Tamandua tetradactyla: one gene and its partners. The protein of the gene in region 3 purifies or fractionates together with the protein of the main gene of each other region. This does not show direct contact. Links are inferred from orthologs where the notes say so. Each region holds a gene or a part of one and is shown on either strand. Other genes may lie near its edges. The genes, in order: AP3B2, AP3S2 and AP3M1.

The links.
Region 1: the proteins of AP3M1 (region 3) and AP3B2 purify together in Homo sapiens (co-immunoprecipitation; 3 studies listed by BioGRID and IntAct, counting the BioPlex papers as one, with this or other methods). This does not show direct contact. The link is inferred for Tamandua tetradactyla from reciprocal best matches to the Homo sapiens genes AP3M1 and AP3B2.
Region 2: the proteins of AP3M1 (region 3) and AP3S2 purify together in Homo sapiens (co-immunoprecipitation; 3 studies listed by BioGRID and IntAct, counting the BioPlex papers as one, with this or other methods). This does not show direct contact. The link is inferred for Tamandua tetradactyla from reciprocal best matches to the Homo sapiens genes AP3M1 and AP3S2.

The regions. Positions count from the first base shown.
Region 1 is NC_135338.1:99,773,639-99,781,467, forward strand, and holds the start of AP3B2 (AP-3 complex subunit beta-2), read right to left. Parts: upstream 3,062-7,829; coding exon 2,949-3,061; intron 1-2,948. Other genes in the region: uncharacterized protein LOC143652592, read right to left, coding at 3,717-3,743, 4,209-4,498, 4,744-4,945, 5,304-5,321, 7,259-7,276.
Region 2 is NC_135338.1:97,928,415-97,935,835, forward strand, and holds the start of AP3S2 (AP-3 complex subunit sigma-2), read right to left. Parts: upstream 3,302-7,421; 5' UTR 3,203-3,301; coding exon 3,134-3,202; intron 1-3,133. UniProt on the Homo sapiens protein: Part of the AP-3 complex, an adaptor-related complex which is not clathrin-associated. The complex is associated with the Golgi region as well as more peripheral structures.
Region 3 is NC_135339.1:22,542,415-22,549,941, reverse strand, and holds the start of AP3M1 (AP-3 complex subunit mu-1), read right to left. Parts: upstream 3,209-7,527; 5' UTR 3,078-3,208; intron 2,956-3,077; 5' UTR 2,823-2,955; exon of another isoform or gene 2,815-2,822; intron 1-2,814. Other genes in the region: ADK (adenosine kinase), read left to right, coding at 3,346-3,410. UniProt on the Homo sapiens protein: Part of the AP-3 complex, an adaptor-related complex which is not clathrin-associated. The complex is associated with the Golgi region as well as more peripheral structures.

The DNA of each region.
Region 1 (7,829 bases), on a different chromosome or scaffold from region 3:
ACACCCTACAGCCACACACACCTACAGCCACACACACCCTACAGCCATATACCCTACAGAAACACACACCCTACAGCCACAGCTACAAGCATCAGACACACTCACCTTATAGCCACACACACCCTACAGACACACACATCCTACAGCCACACACCCCTTGCAGACACACACCTACAGCCATACACTATAGACGCACACACCCTACAGACACACCTAGACACACATGCACACACTCTCACACATCCTCAGACACCCCACCCCAACACATCTCCTTGACAAATACAGCACAGTCACACCACACACACCACCACACAGACACCTTTTTGACACACCTGGGCACTCCACTCTCACTCAGCTAAGGGCCAGTGGCCTCCTATTTGAACTTCTCTACGACAGACTCAGGCTTCTCAGCTCAAACCCAGGCAGCCTCAGGGCCCCTGAGGGTCAGCTGGCCGTCCCCACAAGGCCCCGTGCCCTCTTGTGTCACCGCCGTGGCTTTTCACAGTGCTTCGTGGGGAGTGGCTGGTTTTCCAGTTGCTTTAGTTCTGGGTGGTTCTTAAGCACACGGCCTTATGCCCAGATAGCGTCACCACACCCACAAATGCCACAGGCTGCTGTCAAAACGCACACACCCTGGCAGGCACTGGGGTCCCATTCCAGGCACGAGGCTCCAGCCCAAGCACAGGAGGATGGAGGGAGAGGACGACCGCTGGCTAAAGGTGACAGAGCATGGCCAGGAGGGACTGTCCGACTGAGACACTCCTTAGCCCACGAACTCAGACAGCAGCACCCTCCTGGGTGGGCCACAGGTCCCCCATCCTGGACCCCAACAGCTCAGAGTCTTGAGAGGAAGAGGAAGAGGAAGGGAGAGCTGCCTAGCAACACCCGAAGGCCATGAAACATTAAACTCCCAGTCAGATCCCTTATATAGCACTGTGACCTGCCCTGGCCCAGCGGAAGGACCTGCCCGGGGGGCCGCTGGAGCCAGCCAGGGGCTCAGCATGACTGAGGCCAGCCCGCTCGGCATCCCTGGGCTGCATCGCCCTCTGTCCCCTCAGCACCCATGTTCCAGCCCACTCACGGGAAGAGCTGGCCGAACCCTCTGTGCTTTATCCTGCCCTCCGTGCTCCCCCACCCCCGTCCAGGGCTGGGGCCAGGGAAGGATCAAGGTGGGACCTCAGTCCTCAGACACCTTCCCATCCTCCTCCCCAGAGCCTCCAGGGAGCCACGTGCCTCACCCCCACCTGCCCCAGAGCCCCAAATCCGTGAGCCCCATGCACACTTGCCCCCCCCTCCGTGCCCTGTGCCCTCCCCTCCCCGAGCCCCAGCCTGGGCCCTAATTGCCAGCCCAGCCCTCCTCCACCCGAGGGGGTGCACTTGAAGAAGTCCAAGCTGAGGGTGGCAGCTGCCCATCACTGCCTCCCCAGCCGTCGGGGTGGGCGCCCTGGGGGTCCCCCGTACCGCAGCGGCTGGCTCAGGCCCTGGCCAAACTCTGGGCAGGGACCTTCCTGGGGTGCCTCTGGGGTTGTGTCTTCCTCCGGGGCCTTCAGACACCGCAGCTCCTCCGGCTGCAGGGCCTGGTACCAGGGCGGAGTTCCCCCTTCAGGGGCCAGCACGGGGCTGGTGGCCTCCTGGTCGGCCCCACGGGAGCCCTGGGTCCCGGGGAGCTGCAGGAAGCGCTGCATGGGGCCACAGCTTCTGCCCAGGACTGGGGCTGAGCTGACCGGGGCTGAGCTGACCCGCGGCAGGCACCAAAGGCCGGCCCCAGCGACTCAGACACCGGACACGGCGAGGGGGAGCTCTGGTTTCCAGGGCTCGGCTCAGAGGCAAGGCCCCCTGGGGGCGGGGGAGGGCGGGAACAGGGCACGCCCAGTCCAGCCAGTCAGGCCTGTGGCTCCTACCGCCTCACAGCCTCCTTTCGTCACCCATGCCCTAGTCGGGCACCCTGCGTGTCCCACGTCACCTCCCCGCGGTGTCCACCGTCCTCTTGGGAGCCTTCTAAAAAGCGGATCCGATGCCAGCACCTTCAAACTGCTGGAAGCCGCCCCCCCAACCCCGAGTTCCCCGCCCCCCCCCCCAGCAACCTGCCCCTCCGCCCCACCCTCCAGGGAGTGCGGTGGCTGTGATCTTACAGCCCTTGGGCCCACCGAACCCGGCCCACCCGCGGGCAGAGCCCCTCCTGCCTGAATGTTCCCCACCCCCCCTCCCCCACCCCCACCCCGCTGACCAGCACCAGGCCCAGCCCCCCTGGACGCTCGGTGTCCCCACCACACAGTTATCATGGCTTCCTGTTGTGCGTCCCCCTAGAGAGGCGTAGGGCTGAGGCTGGCCACGCTCGCGGCTGAGGGTGCCCAGCGAGGGGCTCCGGCCACCCTTAGAAAATGTTTGGTTCAGAAATGAGGAAGAAGGAGAGTCCGGGGCGGGGGCGGGGTCAGGGTGGGGGTCTGAGGCCGGGGCCAAGGACGGTCGGCCTAGAGGGGCGACGTGCGGGCGCGCGTGGAGGAGGAGGAGGGCGGGTGGCGAGCTCCGGGTCCAGGGTGCCCCCCCCTCCCCCGACCCCCCGGCCAGCTCGCGCGCGCTGATCCCCCCCCCACGTTCCTGCAGAGCCCACGGGCCCGGGAACCTGTACTCCAACCCCACACAAAGAGGAAGCCCTGGGGGAGAGGGGTGCTCCTCCCAGAGGCACCCACCCCAGACCGCCCCCAGCCTCCGTGCACCCCCCATCTCCCGGACTCCAGGTCGGCCCCTCCGGGCAGGGATGCCGGCATCGGGGGGCGGGTCTCCCGTGGGGCGCGGGTCTCCCGTGGGGCGCGGGTTTCCTCGCCGGGTCGGGCCGGGTTGGGGCGGCGGGCGGGCCGCGGGCGCTGTCCATGGTGCCGGAGCGGAAGCGCCGGCCGGGCCCAGGCCCGGGTGGGCAGCGCCGGCCTCGTCCCCCGGGGCCCCCTCACCGCTTATAGTCGGAGGAGAAGATGCCGCCGCTCGCCGGGTCGTGGCCGTACTCGGGCTCGCCGGGGCCAGCGGAGCCGCCCTTGTCTTCGCTGTAGGCGGGCGCGGCCGACATGGATGCGGGGACCGGCTCCGCCGGGGCGAGGCTGCGCGGCCGGGGAGAGACGCGGGCCGGGCCGGGCCGGGCGAGGCGGTCAGCGGCGCGGGCTCGGCAGAGGCGCCTCGGGCTGCGCGGGCCGGGCCGGGGGCGGCGCGGGGCCTCGGGGCGCGCAGGGCGCCGGCGCGGCGGGGCGGGGCGGGCGCGCAGCCCGCGGCCCGAGGAAGCGCGGTCCCGGGAGGGCCCCTCCGCCGCCTCTTAAAGGGATGACGCTCCTCCTGGGCCCGGGCGGGTGGAGGCCCGGGTGGGCGTTCCGAGGGGGCTCCTCCGGGCGCAGCTGCCTGCGCTCGCCTCCCGCCCCCCACCCCGCGCTGGGGATGGAAAAGGGCGGACTGAGGCGTAGGCTGGGCCTGCGGGCTGCGGGGGGGGGCGCCGCACCCGAGCCAGCCTCAGGCACCTAAGCCCGCTCCTTCTTCCCACCCCACATTCCTCTGATGCTAGGACCCCCTGACTGCGCCCCCGAGGCTTCCTGGAGTTGGTGGAATTTGAGCCCATGGAGGGCAGAGAGAAGGGGAGCGGAGAGAAGACGGTGAGCCCGAGTCCTGCTTTGGGGAGCAGTTTATTGACTCTTTCTGAAGCCCCCAAGCCCACCCTGGCGGCCCACGGTCTCCGTCTAATCCAGAGTCACGTCCACCAACACCTGGAAGGAAGGGAAGGGAAGGGCGCTAGTTAGGTCTGGTGCGACCACCAGGGCCGAGGCTGGGCTGCACACTAGGATTACGTGTTGGACCCGTCGGCTGGGAGGCAGTGGCCACGTTGGACGGGGCAGGCGCTCCCGGGGAATGCTAGTGCGCCTGGATGGGGTGCCGGGCCTGGGCTTGGGCACTGACCTCTGAACTTCAGTTTTAGGATATAGGTGTGGAGGGGACCTGTGGGCCGGAGGCGCCGCTGTGGAGCGGACCCTCGAGGCTTTCGGAGGGGGGCAACCTCGGCGAGTGCTGGCCTGGCTTGGTTCTGAGGCCTTGGGCCAGACCCCAAAGCGGATCCTGAGTTTGGAGGAACCTGGCCTGCGGGCTGCGGGGGGATTTTGCCGGGGCGCGTTGGGTTTCCGCGTTTGTGAGCCGGCTCCGGAGTGGGGCCGCGTGGTCAGTGGGGCCCAGCTCACCGAGCCGCTGGGGCTCCGGCCCGCCCACAGAGGGGCCAGGCTGGGGTCGTGGCCGAGCAAGTGCAGCGCGAAGTGCACGCAGTTGCTGCGCGTGGGGTGGTAGGGAGGCGGGTCCGAGTCCATGGCCTCGCGCACGCGTCTCTGCAGCGCAGCGCGGTCCACGCCGCCGCGTCTACGCAGCACGCGCCAGAGTGAGCGGGAGCGCAGGAGTGGCCGCTCACCCTGCTTGCACACGACGCCTTCCCAGGAGCCCAGCAACTTGTGCGGGTCCCGACCTCCGGGGTGCCTGCCTGCGGGGTGCAAATCGCAGCCAGCTTTAAATCTCAGCGCCCCACACGTCGGACTTCCCAGCTCGCGTCCCCGTGACCATGCACCCCGTGTCCCGGGGCCCCGAAGTCCTGAGTCCGGTGCCCTGCGTGCTCTGGCCCCATCTTTAGAGACCCGCAGCCCCCGTCCCCATGTGGCCCGCCCGCGGGTGGCACGTGACAGCCCCTCACCGCCGGCCCGGGCCCGGGGTTCAGCCCGAGGCGCTCACCCTCGAAGTGGATGATCTCGCCGTGGCCGCAGTACACGCCCACGTGGGCCCCGCACCAGCGGCCCTTGGGGGACGCGATTCTGAACAGGAAGAGGTCGCCGGGCTCGGGCTCCCCGCCTCCCAGCTCCACGGCCTCAAAGTGCTGGCCCAGGATAGCCTCGGCGAGGAAGAACTTCATGGTGGCGACCGCCCCAGTCAGCGCCTGGGGGACAGGGGACTCACGGCCAGTGCAGGAGACACGCGGCCGTTCCACCGACCGTGGGGTCAGGTGGCCCGCCCGGGGCACAGGGAGAACCGGCTGGGGGCTGGGCCCATATGGGAATGCGTTTCCTGCACGGCACCAGCCTCGCTGGACTTAGGGACTCCAGGCCGCTGGGTGTGGTGGCTAAGTCCTGCCCTGAGCCACCTCTGAGAAGCCCTCTGTTTCCAGCAGTTGGACGCCCCCCTCCCGACCCACTGTGGTCTCCTCATTCCAGCCTCTCTGTTCTGTCCCCCTGCTCCAGGGTCCCTTCCCCCAGCTACCTCCCACCTGTGAGTGAGGTCTGGGTCTCAGCGCTTACCTCAGTGGAACACAACACCTGAAGAAACAGAAAGCTGGGTGAGATCTGAGTCTGCATAGGCATCTCCTCCAAAGCCAGGGCAGAGAAAGACCCCCAGCAACCTCAGCAGCCACTGAGTGGCCGCCCGTTTGATCCTTAATACAATCCTACCAGCTGGGGACAGTAAGCCCATTTTCAAGATAAGGAAACTTGAAGTTCACGGAGGTGAACTCCCTGGGGCTCCCACAGCTAGCATCTGCCTGCGTGACTCTGGGTTCCATGTTCTCTCTCCCCGTCAGTTGCCTTCTCTTCTCTATAAGGAAGTGAGAAATACGCTTAATGCAGCTTTCTCCTGTCTTGATTAGGAATGAGGGGCTGTTAGAACTTGGGGGGCTCACCCATCCCCCACCTGCCGGGCACTGGGCTCACCAGCAGGCGGAGCTGGGAGGAGGATGTGGCCCACCAAGCCCGGGGCCCGGCATCTCTGAGGGGTGCTGACTGCTGCTGCTGGGGTTCAGGTGGGAAAGGACCCACATGTGGGAGAGGCGCCCGCTGCCTAGAGCCACACGGCGTCTTCCTGGCGTTTTTAATGCCCCTTATCTAGACCTGTTCAGTCCCGCTAGGGCATTGCTGTGACCAGTTGAGTGTGGGCTGGATTGCAGCCCCCCTGGCTCCCCAGACTGGTGCCACCACAGCTGTGCCCAGCAGTCCAGGTGAGGGGGACTGACCCCCCAAGAAAGCAGGAGCACACTTAGGCAGGTGAAGTGCCCCCGCCCCTGCAGGTTAAAATGCAGAGGAAACCTAGGGTACACTGTCAAAGGAGAGCCCTGTGAGGACCCAGTTTGAGGTCAAGGGCACTAAGTGCCACTGCGCCCCAGCCCCTGGTCTGCCTGGTCTGGGGAGGAGGTGTCTCCCGCATCCGGACTGGGAGGGGAGATGAGTCAAGGCTCAGCCCCTTGCTCTGGGCACCCGGGCAATGGAGCATCAGAACCGAGGCAGCAACAGAGAAGCTGCGAGTGCCTGGTATTCCCAAACCCTGCACCTCCCTTTGCTCTGCCATATAGCTAAGGGCCTGGCCTTCCCCCCTAGGCTGTCTGTCCCGTTGGCCACGAGGCCAAAGGACAAAGGAGGTCACTGAATGTCTCTCCACCTGTTTCCTTATGAAGAAAAGGGAGACAGCCTCCCACTGGGTGGTGGCACCAAGGCCAGCCCAGGTGGGTCACGTGACATTCTGGCCCTTGTGGGTGTCCAGAGCACTTAGCCCAAGCCCAGCTGGCCCCGTGGCCCACCGAGGTGAGGCTCGTCATGGGTCGCCCCCTCCCTCTGCTTCCCCCTCTTGGGAAGCAGCTCGAGGGTGACTTGGGGTGCACTGCAGGGGCCTCAGCGCCCAGGGGATCCTGGGGGAGCGGCCGGCTGTGTCTGATCCCCCAAACGGTCAGGCTGAGTGGCAGGGGCCTCAGAGGCCTGGACACACAGGGCCGCTGCCGGCCGCTGCCGTTTATTTTCAGGCAGGACTCTTTCTTCCAGGCAGCACTGGCTCACTGTCCTCTCCTGTCCCTGACCCTCCTTTCCTTCCCCTCCCGGTCCCCACTGCTCATCACTGGGTGAGTCTCATTTCCCTGACTGCGAGCTTTGGCCCAGTGGGTAGTGTCCTCAGCTCCTCCTAGTTGGTGTGGGAGCTTCCAGGTCTTAAAAGTCCAGCATCTCAGGAACCAGGAAGACCCGGATGGTGGGTCACCCTTGGTTCAGTTAACCGCCCGCCCCCCAATCCCTCTCAACCTCAGGAGACAGCACGGAGACCCAAAGGCACGAGTGGCCCTCAGCCCTGGCCTCCTGCGATGCCCCAAGCAGGGCAGGCACCAGGCCGCTGCCTCCCCTTCCCCACCCCCACTGGGCCAAGAGAGGTGACAGCTGTGGGGGGAGGCCCGGCCCTTGCTGGGGAGAAGAGATGAGGTGAGGACCTCTGCTCCAGTTACCTGGGATGTGCAGCTCATCTAGGAAGGAAAAAACCTGCTGTCACCACCAGGCCAGGGAGGAGGTGAGACCACTCCCATCCCCCCAACCCTGTGGGGCCATGACTGTGGAGTCGATGTGTCCATCTGGGACGCTGGGCCCGGGCCTGGGCAGCGCAGCTGTGGCTGGCCCTCCCCTCTGTGCGGACCCAAGGTGGGCCTCAACCTCCTCAGGTGTGAACTGGGGACAGTAAGCCTGCAGGCTGGGTCCAGGAGCGCTGGGAGGCACTGGGAGCCCTCTGTGGGCTGGACAGAGGGAGGGCGGGGAAGGGGGGAGGGGTAAGTGGGGGAGGGAGCGCCTTTCTCAGCTCAGGGGACAAGAACAATGGGCCTCAGAGCTGGCCACCTCCTGTGGCCCCTGCCCTGGAGGACTCAGGGTGTCACCCAGGTGGAAGGCCTGGACCCTGCCCTGACTCTTCCGGGTGGGGCTGGGGGTGGGGGGCCACCTCCAGACCCTCAGACTGTGCCCCTGGCCTTCGAGGTGGGGCCCGGATGAGGAGATGGCCATGCGGGAGGGGTCTGGGTGCACTGTGGT
Region 2 (7,421 bases), on a different chromosome or scaffold from region 3:
CATATATAGGTCATTGCGCCCCAAAACACAAGGTTATACATTCTTCTCTACTACTCACGGAACATTCTTCAGGATAGAGCATACACTGGGGCACAAAACAGGTTTTTATAAATTTAAAAATATTGAAATTATTCAAAGTACTTTCTCTGATCAAATGGGATGACGCTGGATCTCAATAACCACCAAAGAATAAGAACATTCACAAGTATATGGAGAATAAACAATATACTCTTAAACAACCAGTGGGTCAATGAAGAAATTGCTAGAGAAACCAGTAGCTATTTGGAGATGAATGAAAATGAGAACACAACTTTTCAGAACTTATGGGATGTGGCAAAGGCTGGGCTGAGAGTGAAATTTTTGCCTTAAATGCCTATACCAAAAAACAAGAAAGAGCAAAAATTGAGGACTTAACAGCAAACCTGGAGGAACTTGAGAAAGAACAGCAAACTAACACCAAAACAAATAGGAGAAGAGAATAGCAAAGATTAAAGCCGAAATAAATGAATGGGAGAACAAAAGAACAATAGAAAGAATCAATAAAACCAAAAGTTGGTTCTTTGAGAAATCAATAAAATTGATGGGCCACTAGCAAGACTGACAAAGAAAAATGAGAGATGATGCAAATAAACAAAATTAGAAATGAGAAGGGGTGCGTTACCACAAACCTTGAAGAAATCATAAGAGGATAGTACGATACAAGCCAACAAACTAGACAACTTAGATGAAAAGGACAAATTCCTGGAGACACACAAAACAAGCTACACTGACTCAGGAAGAAATAGAAGATCTCAACAAATCAATCACAAATTAAGAGATTCAATCAGTCCAAAAATTTTCCTACACAGAAAAGCTCAGGGCCAGATGGTTTCACCAGGGAACTTTATCAAACATTCCAGAAAGAACTAAGACCAATTCTGCTCAAATTTTTCAAAAAAATTGAGGAAAAAGGAACTCTACCTAACTCATTTTATGAAGCTAATATTTTAATACCAAAACCGGGTAAGATGCTATAAGAAAGGAAAACTACAGGCCAATCACCCTAATGAACATAGATGCAAAAATCCTTAATAAAATATTAGCAAATCTAACCCAACAGCACATTAAAAGAATTATACACCATGACCAGGAGGGGTTTATACCAGGAATGCAAGGATGTTTCAACACAAGAAAATCAATTAATGTAACACAGTATATATATATATATATATATATTTTTTTTTTGTAACAGTATATTAACAAGTCAAAAGGGAAAAAAATCACATGATCGTCTCGACTGTTACTGAAAAAGCATTCAACAAAACTCAGCATCCTTTTCTGATAAAAGCACTCCAAAAGAGAGGAATCAAAGGTAACTACGTCAATATGATAAAGGAAATATAGGAAAAACCCATAGCCAGCATCGTACTCAATGGAGAGAGACTGAAAACCTTCCCTCAGGTAAGACAAGGATGCCCACTGTCACCACTATTATTCAACATTGTGGTCAAAGTTCTAGCTATAGCAATCAGGCAGGACAAAGAAATAAAGGCATCCAAATTGGAAAGGAAGAAGTAAAACTCTAATTATTTGCAAATGGTATGATACTACACTTGGAAGATCCCGAGAAATCTACAGCAAAGTTACTTGAGCTAATAAACAAATTCAACAAGGTGGCAGGATATAAAATTAATGTGCAAAAATCAGTAACTTTTTTTCTATACACAAGCAATGAGCAAGCTGAGGAATTAGTTAAGGAAAAAATTCCATTCAAAATAGCAACTAAAAGAATCAAAGCTTAGGAATGAACTTAACTAGGGACATAAAGGACTGGTACACAGAAAACTATGTAACATTGCTAAAAGAAATCAAAGGTGATCAAAATAGGTGGAAAGACATTCCTTGCTCATGGACAGGAAGGCTAACTATAGTTAAGATGTCAATTCTTCCCAAACTGATCTACAGATTCAACACAGTACCAATCAAAATTCCAACAACCTACTTGAAGATTTGAAAAAGCTAACTACCAAATTCATCTGTTAGGGAAAGAGACCCCAAACAGCTAAATGCATTCTAAAAAGAAAAATGAAGTGAGCAGATAAACACTCCCTGACTTTAAAACCTATTATAAAGCCACAGTGGTGGGACACTCAGGGGCTGCTGGTGGGAATGTATAATGGCGCAGCCTCTATGGAAGACTGTTTGGTAACTTCTCTCCTTAGGAAACTAAATATGGAGTTGCCCTATGACCCAGCAATAGCACTACTTGGTATATACCCAGAAGAGCTGAAAGCAATGACACAAACAGACATTTGCATACCAATGTTCATAGCAGCATTTTCACAATCACCAAAAGATGGAAACAAACCAAATGCTCATCAACAGACGAGTGGATCAACAAAATGTGGTACAGACATATGATGGAATATTATGCAGCAATAAGGCAAAATGGCATCCTGAAGCACATGACAAGATGGATGAGCCTTGAGGACTTAATGCTGAGTGAAGTTAGCCAGACACAAAAGGACAGATACTGTATGAGTCCACTTCTACAACCAGCATAAAGGTATAATCAGAGGCTTATAATACAGAAAATAGGGAACTTAGAGAAACATAGAAGCTAGAGATGGGTGAACCAAGGAGGTTGAAGCGTATCTGGACTCCAGGGCAGTCCCAACACTGAAACAAAAGAATCCCGAAAAAGAACTTTCCAGACCGTATGTCCACAGTAAAAACGCTAAGCGGTGGAACGCTGTTTCCTTCTTGTAAAACTGGGTACCCAACAAACAAGATTAAAGCGCTTGGCCATTCAAACCCCCACCGAGGCCCGCCGCCCGCACCCAAGGCGTTTACACCTGCTGCAGGGAGACCCAGTGGGAAGAGACACGAAATGGCACAGCCGAGCAGGAGCACAGGCGGGGGGCAGGAGGCGCGCGGGGCTGCGGGGCTGCGGGGCTGGGGGGCTGCGGGGCTGGGCCCAACACCAAGGCCTGCCTCTGCCCCACGCGGGGTAGGAGGCGAAGAGGGGCTGAGGGTCCCGCTCCGGGCAGGAGCCCGAGGCGGTCGGCGGGGGCGCTGCAGCCGGATGGGCCCGGGGCGGAAGAAGAGGGACCGGAGGCCCTAGAGGAGCGTGGCAAAACCCGCCCGCACTCACGAAACGCTGGTAGAACCGGACCAGCCGCGGCTTCCCGTGGTTGTTGAACACCAGAACCGCCTGAATCATCTTCCCCGGCCGCGCCACCTTCAACACCCGCTACCCTCAGAGCAGCTCCTTCCGCCGCGCACGGCCACTTCCGGCCGGTGCTCACGGCCACTTCCGTTCGGTGCGCGGCCGAGAGCAGCTGGCGGAAACCGGCTCCCGGCGCCCAGGGGCCGGGGACCTGAGTGGCCGGGCTCTCCGCGCGCGCTGGACGCCGCTCCGAGGCGGGCAGGTGCGCGGGCAGAGGCGGGGTTGGGCCCCTCGGCCCCCGCCGGGACGCGAACCCGGGCCCGTGCCGGTCGTCCAGGCCCGCCGCTCGCCCGCGAGTCCCAGGCCGTCGGAAAGGCGGATCCCGAGGTAGAAACTCCGAAGCGCGGCGAGAACTTCCTCTGTCCCGGCCAGCCTCCCGCTAGCGCTCCGCGGTGGACGGGCCGCTTAATTTAGCCATTTCCTGACGCGAAATATTTAGGCCGTTTTTATTTTTCGGCGCTACAGACGATGGGGCGAACTATGTAGCTGTCTCTTCTCGCAGCAGGCTGATGTTTCTCCATGGTAGACAGTGAATAGTGGAATGAATTCAGTGCTATTCCAGTAAAAAGGCACTGGAGATCCCAGATTAGTACATTTTGTTTTGTTTTTTCTTTTCATACCTAGGGGAGGAGGCGTAGAGAAATGAGCAAGGACCGTTTATTTCGGATAAAGCTGCAAATTGAAATCACCTATCCAGAGAACAGTTTGGCAGTCTGTATCGGCAGTCTTTAAATTGTATATGTTAGACCCCGAATTTCCAGTTCTAGAATTTATAATAAAATAAGTGGGGCAAAAAATGATTTAGCCTCAAGAATATATAACTTGGCTGTGTTATTGCAGGGAAAAATGGGAAGCTAATTATTCCAAAATAAGTAAATGGTTAATGCATAGTTCCCCATGCATATTAGAAATACAGGGAAATGTTCATGGTACATCTGTAAATGAAAAGATTGCACAAAGATTTTATAGGGATATCCCACTTTGTAAATTATATATATAAAGATTGGAAGTAGATACACCAAAATAAAAGTAATACTTTGTATCTGATGGGATAGAAGTTTTATAGAGTATTCTGCACAGGCTGCTGGAACCACACTGCCTGGATTCAAATCCTGGCTTTGTTGACAGCCTGGGGGTCTTGGGCCAGTTTTTTCACCTGTAAAATAGGTGTAATATCAGTCTCCCTAACTGTAAAACTATGAAAATGACTCTGCTTAGCTCAGACAGTTGTTATAAGCACAGAAGGAGTTGATATTTGTAAGCACTTGGAGCAGCTGTATGACACATAATTGAGTGCTATATAAGTGACTTAAAATATCTTTGGGTTGTAGGATCATAGATTTTCTTTTTTTATTTTCTAAAATAAATAGGAATTGCTCTTCTAGTCACATAATTTTAATTTTTTTTTTTACTTTTTTAAACTTTTTTTTATTGTGAAACAACAGATGCAGAAAAGTAACAAATCTCAAATTATAGCTTAACAAGCAGTTATAGAGCAAATATCAAAATATGGTATCGGTTACATTTCCACAATTCAGGTATTTCTAAGCTGTTCTAATATACTAGAGACTAACAAGAAAGAAATCTTATCTTCTCTGGCACACCTCCTCCCTCTCATTTGATTCCTTTCCCAATCTTCAGGGGTATTTGGGCAATGACCATTCTAGCTTCTTCATGTCAAAAAGGGGTGTCAACCTAATGGGGTAGGGGCATGCAACTAGTTGATGTTCTTGGAGGGACTGGTGCCTCCGGGTTTCACGACTTATCTAGCATAGAAACCATCTGGAAGTTTTAAGTTTCTGAAAAATAAATTTTGCGAGTGAAACTTTTATAGAGCCTTAGATAGAGCCCTGGGCATTCAGGAATACCAGCAGTATGGGGCTTGGCATACTGTGGCAATTAGCATCATCTTGCTGAAGCTTGCTTAAGAGTAACTTACAGAATAGCCTTCGACTCTATTTGAAATATCTTAGCCACTGATTCCTTATTTTGTTCCATTTATTTTCCCCCTTTTGGTCAGGCAGACATTGTGGATCCCACGGAGCCAGGGCTAGGCGCATCCCTGGAACTCACGTCTCATGTAGCGGGGAGGGTAACGGGTTTCCTAGCAGAGCTGGGCTTAAAGATAGAGAGGCCACATCTGAGCAACAAAAGAGGGTCTCTCTGGAAGTGACTCTTAGGCGAAATTGTAGGTAGGCTTAGCTTCCCCATTACAGAAACAAGTTTCATAAGAGCAAACCTCAAGATCAAGGGCTTGCCTTATTAATGTGGGAATCCGAAATGTCTGAGAGTAGCAGGGTTTTCCCAGGTGAGGAGGTTTAACTGTTCCATATTTTACCTCCTGACCCTCAAGAGACTTTGCCAATATGTTTTACTGATCTTCCCAAAATACTCTGGAATGTATCAAGATATTACATTAAGCTATACAGAATTACAGCTATACAGACTGAGAAGCTCTCATCACAATTCTAGGCTCCATGTGCTTAGGCTGTTTAAATGAACTGACCAGATGGGGTAAGTTAGATTGTGCGCTACAAAAAATTAAAGTTTCGGACAGAATGAACATCTTTTCCTTTGGTCTCATACAGTACGTGAAGTTCTAAAATACAGACAGTATCATCCTTTACCCTGTATTCTGATGTATCCTTGTCCCAACCAGATCAACTTCATTTTATCTGGAATTGAAATCTAGTCTCTTTTTCAGCTTATTATTTTAATAAAAAATAATTTGACCTAAAACTTGATGCAATGTTTCAAATATTGAGGACGAATATCAAAAACAGAAAAATAAGGGGGAACTAGCCCTAGCAACTATTAAAACCTACTATGATCATTCGAATTATAATGATAAGGAGATTTATTGAACTATAATGGGTAATTTAAGTATAAAATAGCTTTAACATGTGATGGAGGAAAGACATCATGACTTGACAGTGGAAGGATTCAGTAAATGCTGTTGAGATAACTCGTTAGCAATTTGAAAGTAAGAAATTTAGGTACCTCACTTTTTACCTTCACACAAAGGCAGGATGGATGATTAAAGAGTTAAGTGTAAAACCAGATAATAACCAAAATGGGCCAGCAGATATATCTATATAAAGATTTTATGTTTATAAACAATTTTTTAAATGGAATACAGTTGTTAAAATATGGTAAATAGTTATCTTTAAAATATCAATAAGCCAGACAAACAAAAAAGATAAGACCTCTGATAGATAGCTAAAGGAACTGAGTAACAAGAGGAAATACATCTAGGAAAAAAAAACCATGAAAATAGTTTAAGCACCCTAGTAATGGGTGAAAAGGCAAACTGACATATTTGCCTTTTCAAACATCATTTTTAAAAAATGCTTTTCTATCACAGAAGACCTAAATAGGTGGAAGGGCATACCGTGTTCATGGATTGGAAGACTAAATATAGTTAAGATGTCAATCCTACCTAAATTGATTTACAGATTCAATGCAATACCAATCAAAATCCCAACAACTTATTTTTCAGAAATAGAAAAACCAATAAGCAAATTTATCTGGAAGGGCAGGGTGCCCCGAATTGCTAAAAGTATCTTGAGGAAAAAAAACCAAGCTGGAGGTCTCACGCTGCCGGACTTTAAGGCATATTATGAAGCCACAGTGGTCAAAACAGCATGGTATTGGCATAAAGATAGATGTATCGACCAATGGAATCGAATAGAGTGCTCAGATATAGACCCTCTCATCTATGGACATTTGATCTTTGATAAGGCAGTCAAGCCAACTCACCTGGGACAGAACAGTCTCTTCAATAAATGGTGCCTAGAGAACTGGATATCCATATGCAAAAGAATGAAAGAAGACCCATATCTCACACCTTACACAAAAGTTAACTCAAAATGGATCGAAGATCTAAACATTAGGTCTAAGACCATAAAACAGTTAGAGGAAAATGTAGGGAGATATCTTATGAAACTTACAATTGGAGGCGGTTTTATGGACCTTAAACCTAAAGCAAGAGCACTAAAGAAGGAAATAAATAAATGGGAGCTCCTCAAAATTAAACACTTTTGTGCATCAAAGAACTTCATCAAGAAAGTAGAAAGACAGCCTACACAATGGGAGACAATATTTGGAAATGACATATCAGATAAAGGTCTAGTATCCAGAATTTATAAAGAGATTGTTCAACTCAACAACAAAAAGACAGCCAACCCAATTACAAAATGAAAAAAAGACTTGA
Region 3 (7,527 bases):
CATTTATTCACTCAAAAAAGTAGTTTTTTGTTTTGTTTTAAATATTTTTATTGACAAATCTTCACACATACATTCCATATATGATGTACAATCAGTGGCTCACAAATATTATCACATAGCTGTGTATTCATCACCATGATAATTTTTTAGGACATTTGCATCATTACAGAAAAAGAAACAAAAAGAAAAAGAAAAAACTCATACATACCATACCCCTCATCCCTCCCTCCCACTGATTACCAACATTTCTATCTATGCAATCTACTCTACCCCTTATCCCTATTATCTATTTATTTTTTATCCATATTTTACTCATCTGTCCTCACCCTGGAAAAAAGGAGCATCAGACACAAAGCTTTTACAATCACACAGTTACACTGTAAAAGTTATATCTTTATACAATCGTCTCCAAGAATTGAGGCTTCTGGAACACAGCATACCAGCCTCAGGTACTTCCCCCCAGTCACTCTAACACACCACAAACCAAAAAGGAATATCTATATAATGCCCAAGAACAACCTCCAGCATAACCTTTCAACTCGGTCTGAAATCTCTCTCAACAAGTAGTTTTGAATACATTTTATATATTAGGTGTTAAGAACTACAAAGATGGACATTGAGAGGTCAGCCAAGTTGACAACCAACTAGAGTGTGTTAGTGTGTTTCCAGAAGAACCGTGTTGTAAACAAAAAGTAGCACAGAGAAGTCAAGCTATAAGAAGAACTGAAACTGTCTATTCATTTAAGTTTTTCTTAACCTTATTTTCATTATCATCCTTCTGATGGGCCTTTTAGACTCTTCCTCCCATAATTGCAAACCATCTCCCATAATTGCAAACCACCTCCCAAGATATATATATATAGTGTTATATAAAATAACACAAATGTATTATCTTACAGTATAGGTCTCACTGGGTTATAATCAAGTTATCCATGAAATTTTAATACCACAGAATATGGTATGTTTGTTTATGTACTATATGTAAACTGTGCTTTAAATATAAGAAAAGTAAGATTTTTTTTCATCCTGTAAGAAGCAATTTTTGTCCTCACTGAGAGATTTAACACATAAAGGACATTGGTGATCTTGGTAAAAGCAGTTTCAGTGGTAGTTTGGTAGAATACTGGAAACAAAAGACAGATTGCAGTGGGCTGAGTAATAAATAGCAAGAAGTGGGAAAAATAGAGATAAAGGGAGAGCAGATGACATATTCAAGAAGTCAAGCTGTGAAGGGGATGAAAAGAGAGGAAAATAAGTGGGAATAGTTCATAAATTGAGGAAGAATATTTTTAAATGCTGAAGAGAAGGTGTGAGAAGGCTTGTGATGTAGGAGAGAGGAAATAAGTGAAAGAAAGAGGACCCCAAGAAGGAGAAAATGGTATTGGGTAACTAGGTGAAAGGATTTGTTTTCCCTAAGGAGAAGGGCCATGTTTCTCAGTAGTACATTATGTTGAATGTTTAGAAACATGTAAAAATCATAGAACTCAGTGAGAAAAACTAACCTTGTTGTAAAGAGAACTTTCCTATTAAAGATAAACAAGTGTATATATATAAAGATATACAAGTTTCAGTTAATTTCTCATTCACTTTGTATGCTTCACTTTTCCTACAGTTTCAGTTTCAAGTGTCCTATCTTTCTAAATTAATTTTGTACTTGTAAATTTGGTTCCAGTACCCTCATTCAATTCTGGGATCATACCTCTCTTTCTTAAACCTTTAATTTTATACATTAATTACTAGCTTACTGCTTGGAAACATAATGCTTTGTAATCTTTTTTAAAAAAACAACAACAAAAAACCCAAAACAAAACATCCAAATATTTTCCCCATGTTACCACTCTCGTTTATCTTTTGCTTCCTGCCCCAAATGATAAAGGGTTAGTTAACACTTGCAGCATCTCTCTCAATCAATGACTTCCTAATCATTAAATCCAATGATCTCTTCTCAGACTTCCTCTATTGACCTATGCCGCATTTCAAGTCACTGGCAAAATTCCCCCATACAAAACAAATACCTCTTACGCTATTTTATGAAACTTCACCTGTTTTGGCTCTCACCTTGAAAGTTTTTTTTCGGTTTAATTCCCAGGCTTCTTTTATTATTATTTTTAAAAATTATTCTACCATCTCCACCTAAGCTACTGCTTCAAACTCGATATATTCTAAACTAAACACAGCATCCGATCTCCACAAAATTCCTTCTTCTTCAAGTGAGAACTCTCAACTTTAGAGTTAGCATCTTCTCCTTGGTCATCTAGGCCAGAAACTTCAGCTTCAAATTCAACCCAAATCCAACCAGTGACATCTCTCATAATTTTTCTGTATTCCCTCCCACCTCATCGGTTTAGCTCTCTGTCACCTCTTCTGAAGAACTGCCACATCCTTCTTACAGTATTGTATTCCCTATCCCAGACTCATCCCGGCACCACCCTCTAACAGGACGTCCGCTCAACTTCGTCAGGGGTTTCGTTCTACAAAACGGAAGCCCGGACCTGAGGTGCGAGCTGTTGTTGCTTCAAGCTCAATACTGGTGACAAGACCTTTTCTCCCGCTCCAGGGCGTGAAGACAGACTAGCTTGAACCCGCAGTTCCGAGGTTCTGAGACCACTGGGCCGCAGGTACATCGCTCCCTTCCGGCCCTGCTGGCTACAAAGCCCGGGAGGCCAGGAAGGAGCGCGGCCCCTCCCCACAGCACCGGAGACGCTCCCGCCGCCCAAGGTGAAGTCCGGAGCCCCAGCTATTCAGCCTGTTCCCCATTTTCCGAGCTGTCCGCAGGCTGCAGATTGCCCCCACCGTCCCCACCCTCACACTCACCCCGGTACCTGGGCCAGTCAGTGATTCGGTGCCGGGTCCTCTCCCGACCTAGGCTGAGACAGCTGAGAAGGCCGTGAGGACCCCGTAGTTGGAGTGCTCAGGAGATTGCCTGATTAACAGCTTCATAGACACTGACTCGGTCTGCAGTAGTGGAAAGATTAAAAAAAGCCAGAAGACGTTAAACGAGATGAAAGACGTTCCTTAAGGTTGAGGATCTAAATCTTCTAGATTACCCAGCCTCTAGAAGAATAAGGGTTTCGCACCTTCCAGCGCAGGCGCTCATCCGCGGCCTAACTCATTCTCGGGTCCCCCGCAGGCGGGGCGGGGCCAAAAAGGGGCGGGGTATTGGTTGTGGGGACCACGGATAAAACCATTGGTTGTGGACGGGAGAGGCCCAGACTGGGCGAGGCCCTGAAGAGGCGGGGAGAGGGGCGTGCTTTGCAGAAAAGGAGGCAGTGATGTGACAGGGGCGGGGCCAGAGCGCCGAGGCGGGTGGAGCGCAGCCAAGCCAAGTGGGGTGGGAAGGCGAAGATGGCAGCGACCGAGGAGGAGCCAAAGCCCAAAAAGCTGAAGGTGGAGGCGCCGCGAGCGCTGAGGTGAGCGCTCCCCGACGTGGGGAGGAGGGTGGCGACGGCTGCCGCAAGCCAGGGCCCACGTGGGGTTGCGCGGGCCGGGCGCTGCGTGTTTTCCTGCTGCCCGTGTGGGGTCAGCGCGCGGGACCGGCGCCCAGGAGCTGCCCGCGTAGTCGCGACCTCTTTACCCGCCCAATTTGTCTGGCCCATTCGCTGTCCGCTCCCGAGCGGTTCGGACTCACGGCCTCCTTGGCCAATCAGAGTGTCCGTTCTGTGGGCAGAGGCGGTGGCAGGCAAGCTGCGGGCGCCACGTGCTAGCCTGCTTCAGCTGGGCCGGTGCGACCCATGAGAACCTGACCAGAATCCAAGCCGGCTACCTCCTCTTCCGCGAGGACTAGCCGGGGAGGAGGCCCTAAGCTTGCTGTACCCTGGGGCAGTGACAACCACTTGCGAATTCTTGGGGATTTTTAGGAAAGTGTCGCGGAAGGGCGCCTTGACCTTGCTCCTCGCACAGACTCTAACAGCCGGCAACTTTGAAGATCCTCTGCCAGGGACCCACAACGCCACCGCCGGGGCATTGCGGGGCTGACATTTGGCTGAGTGGATAGGAAAGGTTGATTATTCTTTTTTCTTTGCACTTTTTTAGCAGCAGTGGACACAGTTCTGTCTCTGATAGCTGCCTCGCATGGATTGGCATTGCAACTTTTACTTAAAAAAAGTTATTGAAAATACTTGAACTCTGAAGTAAACCACGCACTGTCTTAGTAATACAGTTATTAAAATATTGTTTCTTCAGTTGCAACAAATGCACCACACTAATGCAAGGTGTTAATAATGGAATAGCATGTGGAACTGTATTTTATGCATGATTTTCTGTAAACGTACACCTTCTCTAATAAAAAAATACAATGGTAAAAAAATTCCCCTTCTTAATAAGTATAAAAAGCTACATCAAAATTATTTGGTGATTTTGAACAGCATGTGGAAAGTCAGTGATTTTTCTATCTAAAACCAGACAAACTAAACCTGTTGGGGCCCTCCTGAAATAAGTCGTATCCTATTTATTTTAACACCAGTGTTCTTCAGCTCTAAATAATGAACACTTAAAATTGAAGAAAAGGTCACTTAGGGGCCTGGTAGTGTGGCCATGGTAACATGTGGCAAAATATCAAATCCCTGCCAATGCTTTTAATGTATTCCTACTACCCTCAAAGGTTGAGTGTGCCTATCTTATGCCTAGAAAATAAACTTTTTTTTTTTAACTTCTCAGGATGTTCTAGTTTTCATCTAAAGCTTTCATGCTCTGTAAGGTAAAGCAAAGGCCCTCTGACTTACCTAAGTTGCATGCATATACTTTTCTGACTGTCCTTTTTTAGTGTTTCCTTCACAAAACTTTCCTCACCAAATTGGAAGACAGATACTAGGTTTTTTCTGCTATTTCATCAAACATATAAACCTTAGATTTCCCCTTAGTAAAATAATACTTTATATGTAATGGTCATCCATTTTCAAAGTGCTTTTCTACTTATTATCTCACTGTACAGCCCTGTGAGTTAACGAGGACAAGAATTCTCGCATTTTACAGCTGAGAAAATTGAAGCCCAAATGAAACAACTGGTTAAACGACTGAAATCAGAACATTTGGGTGCAGGTTCATTGATACTTTACTCTATTGTATTTGCCTTTATACCACCCAAGGTATGCTTATTTTTGTTTATAAATCCTTAAAAATAATGAGGATCAATAATATTTAATATTTAAATATGCATGCCCAGGCACTGCTTCAGCAATATACCTATTGTAATTCATTCGCTCCCCACAACAATCCTGTAAGGTGGCTATTATAATTGTCTCCATTTTATGGATGAGAAAACAGACATAGAGAGATTAAGTAATTTGATCAAGGTCACTTATCTAGAAGGTGGTGGGGTTGGGATTTGAATCCAGGTATTCTGGTTCCAAGTCTGTTCTTAATTATTATACTCTACATATTAACTTCAATTTACCAAAAAAAAAACCCTAGTGAACTGTTAATACAATTTTTGTTTTTCAACTTTCTCTTGTTTTTTGTTTGTATACATAACTTTTTATTTTGTTGCAATATATTTGCTTGTGATACATCATAATTATAGTTACATATGATGCAGTTTGTATGTCATTAGTGTCTATTTAAATTTGTAAACATCCTTAGGCAACTAAAATTGGTTTTATACAGTATCATCTTCGCACCTGTAGACATGAGCTTAAATACTTGATGCAAATAAAAGATTGGACACTGTTGAATATTGGGACAAATCTCTTAATTTTGTGCAAAGATACAAAAATTGACAGTTCCTGCTTTCATTGAATTTTATGAGTTTGCCAGAGAATGATAATGCATTGAGTGGTTGGACTGTATCACCTGAGATGACATGCTTAACCGAAATAACTTCCAGTTCAGGTTAACTCTTTAAAGAGAAATGGCTTATAAAGTCTAAGCATAATTTACTGGGTAGAATCAGTTAGTAGGGGAAACAAGTTTATGATAGATTTCTTTAGATGTCGGGGAAAGGATTTAGGCCCTATGGAAATTTCAGTTAGTGCTAGGGCAGTGGTTCTCACTCAGGGAAGATTTTGCCCCAGGGGGACATTTGGTAAAGTCTGGAGACATTTTTGGTTGTCACAACTGGGGTGGGGTGGAAGTGCTACTTACACTTATGGGTAGGATTCAGTGATGCTGCTGAACATTCCATGGTGCATAGGACAGCTATCCGTAACAAAATCATTGGCCAAAAAATGTTAGTAGTGTTGAGGTTGAGTAACTTTGCTGTAGGGAAGGCATCCCTCTTGGCTAGCCTCTCTTAAATGTCCATTATTTTTCTAGGCTGGGTTAACTTTCAGAGTATAGCGGTCGTTAAAGTTGGAAAGAAAGAAGCAGGCTCTAACATGCTTTCAGTTGGGATTGGGGTAAAGAAGGGTACATTAATTGAATACCTATAGTATGCCAGGCATTATACTCATCTTTTTTTTTTTATGACTAAAATGCATTTAATCTCCTGGAGTACAATTTCACGTTTGCCATGTGGGGACTGCCTTCTATACTAATCTTTACATATGCTGTCTTACTTGATGCTCCCAGTGCCTATGAGGTGGGAGGAATTATCTCTGTGTTACAGATGAAGTATTTGGAACTTAAAGAAGTTGAGAGCCATTGTTGGGAACTGCTCCCTGAATGAAGAGGTTCCGTGATGATTACCTATATTTAGGACCACTTAGTTTGCTTTCTCTCCTTTGAAAATCTCATCCAAGTTCATTTCTTTAGCAGTCACCTCTAAGAGGATCAGCTCCCTGCAGCACTTGTTGAACAACTGCCAAATCTGCCCTTTCAGTCATTACTTCAAGTGCCTACTATTTTAGGCATGGTGCTAGGAACTGGGTACATATATAGAAAGACATGAGACACAGGTACTATCCTCTTGGTTTGAAATGAGTGGGGTTTGGGAAAATGATACCCGAGCATCCTGAAGGATGACTAGGATTTAGCCAGGTGTAAAGTAGGGGAAAAGTGCTTGGTTTTATAGGAAAGTTTGGAGCCAGAAATGGGAAGGTTGACTCTGTTGGGAAACTACAGATGGTTTGGTCTGACGGAAGCAGAGGGCCTAAGGGGCCCAGGCTTTGTACTGGATACTTTCGTATATGTAATCTTTCCTTCTGTTTATCTCTAAGCTCTTAGACCCTAATTTCAAATGCCTACTGAATATCTCCTTCTGATACTTAGAATCAGATAATATACCTAAATTCATCTTTTGCCCTAAGCCTGCATCTTCTCCTATGACTCCTGTATCTATTAATGGTACCACTAACCTCCCTTTCTCAAAAGTTTGAAACCTAGATTTTTGACTCACTTACCATCTGCATATAGTTATCGAAGTTGGTCTTTTCTTTCTCAGTAATGTTTCATAAATGTCTTTCCTTTTCCATTCCTGCCACCACAACATAAGTGTAGATTACCTTTTGCTTAGATTTTTTTATTGGCTTCCTAGCTTGAGACATGAGTCTCAAGTTCTGCTTAATCTTCTTCAGGCTTATCTCTACTTGTTCATCATAGCATATATGTATGTATTATATATATGCTATTATTGACCCATAGTATTGGTTTGGG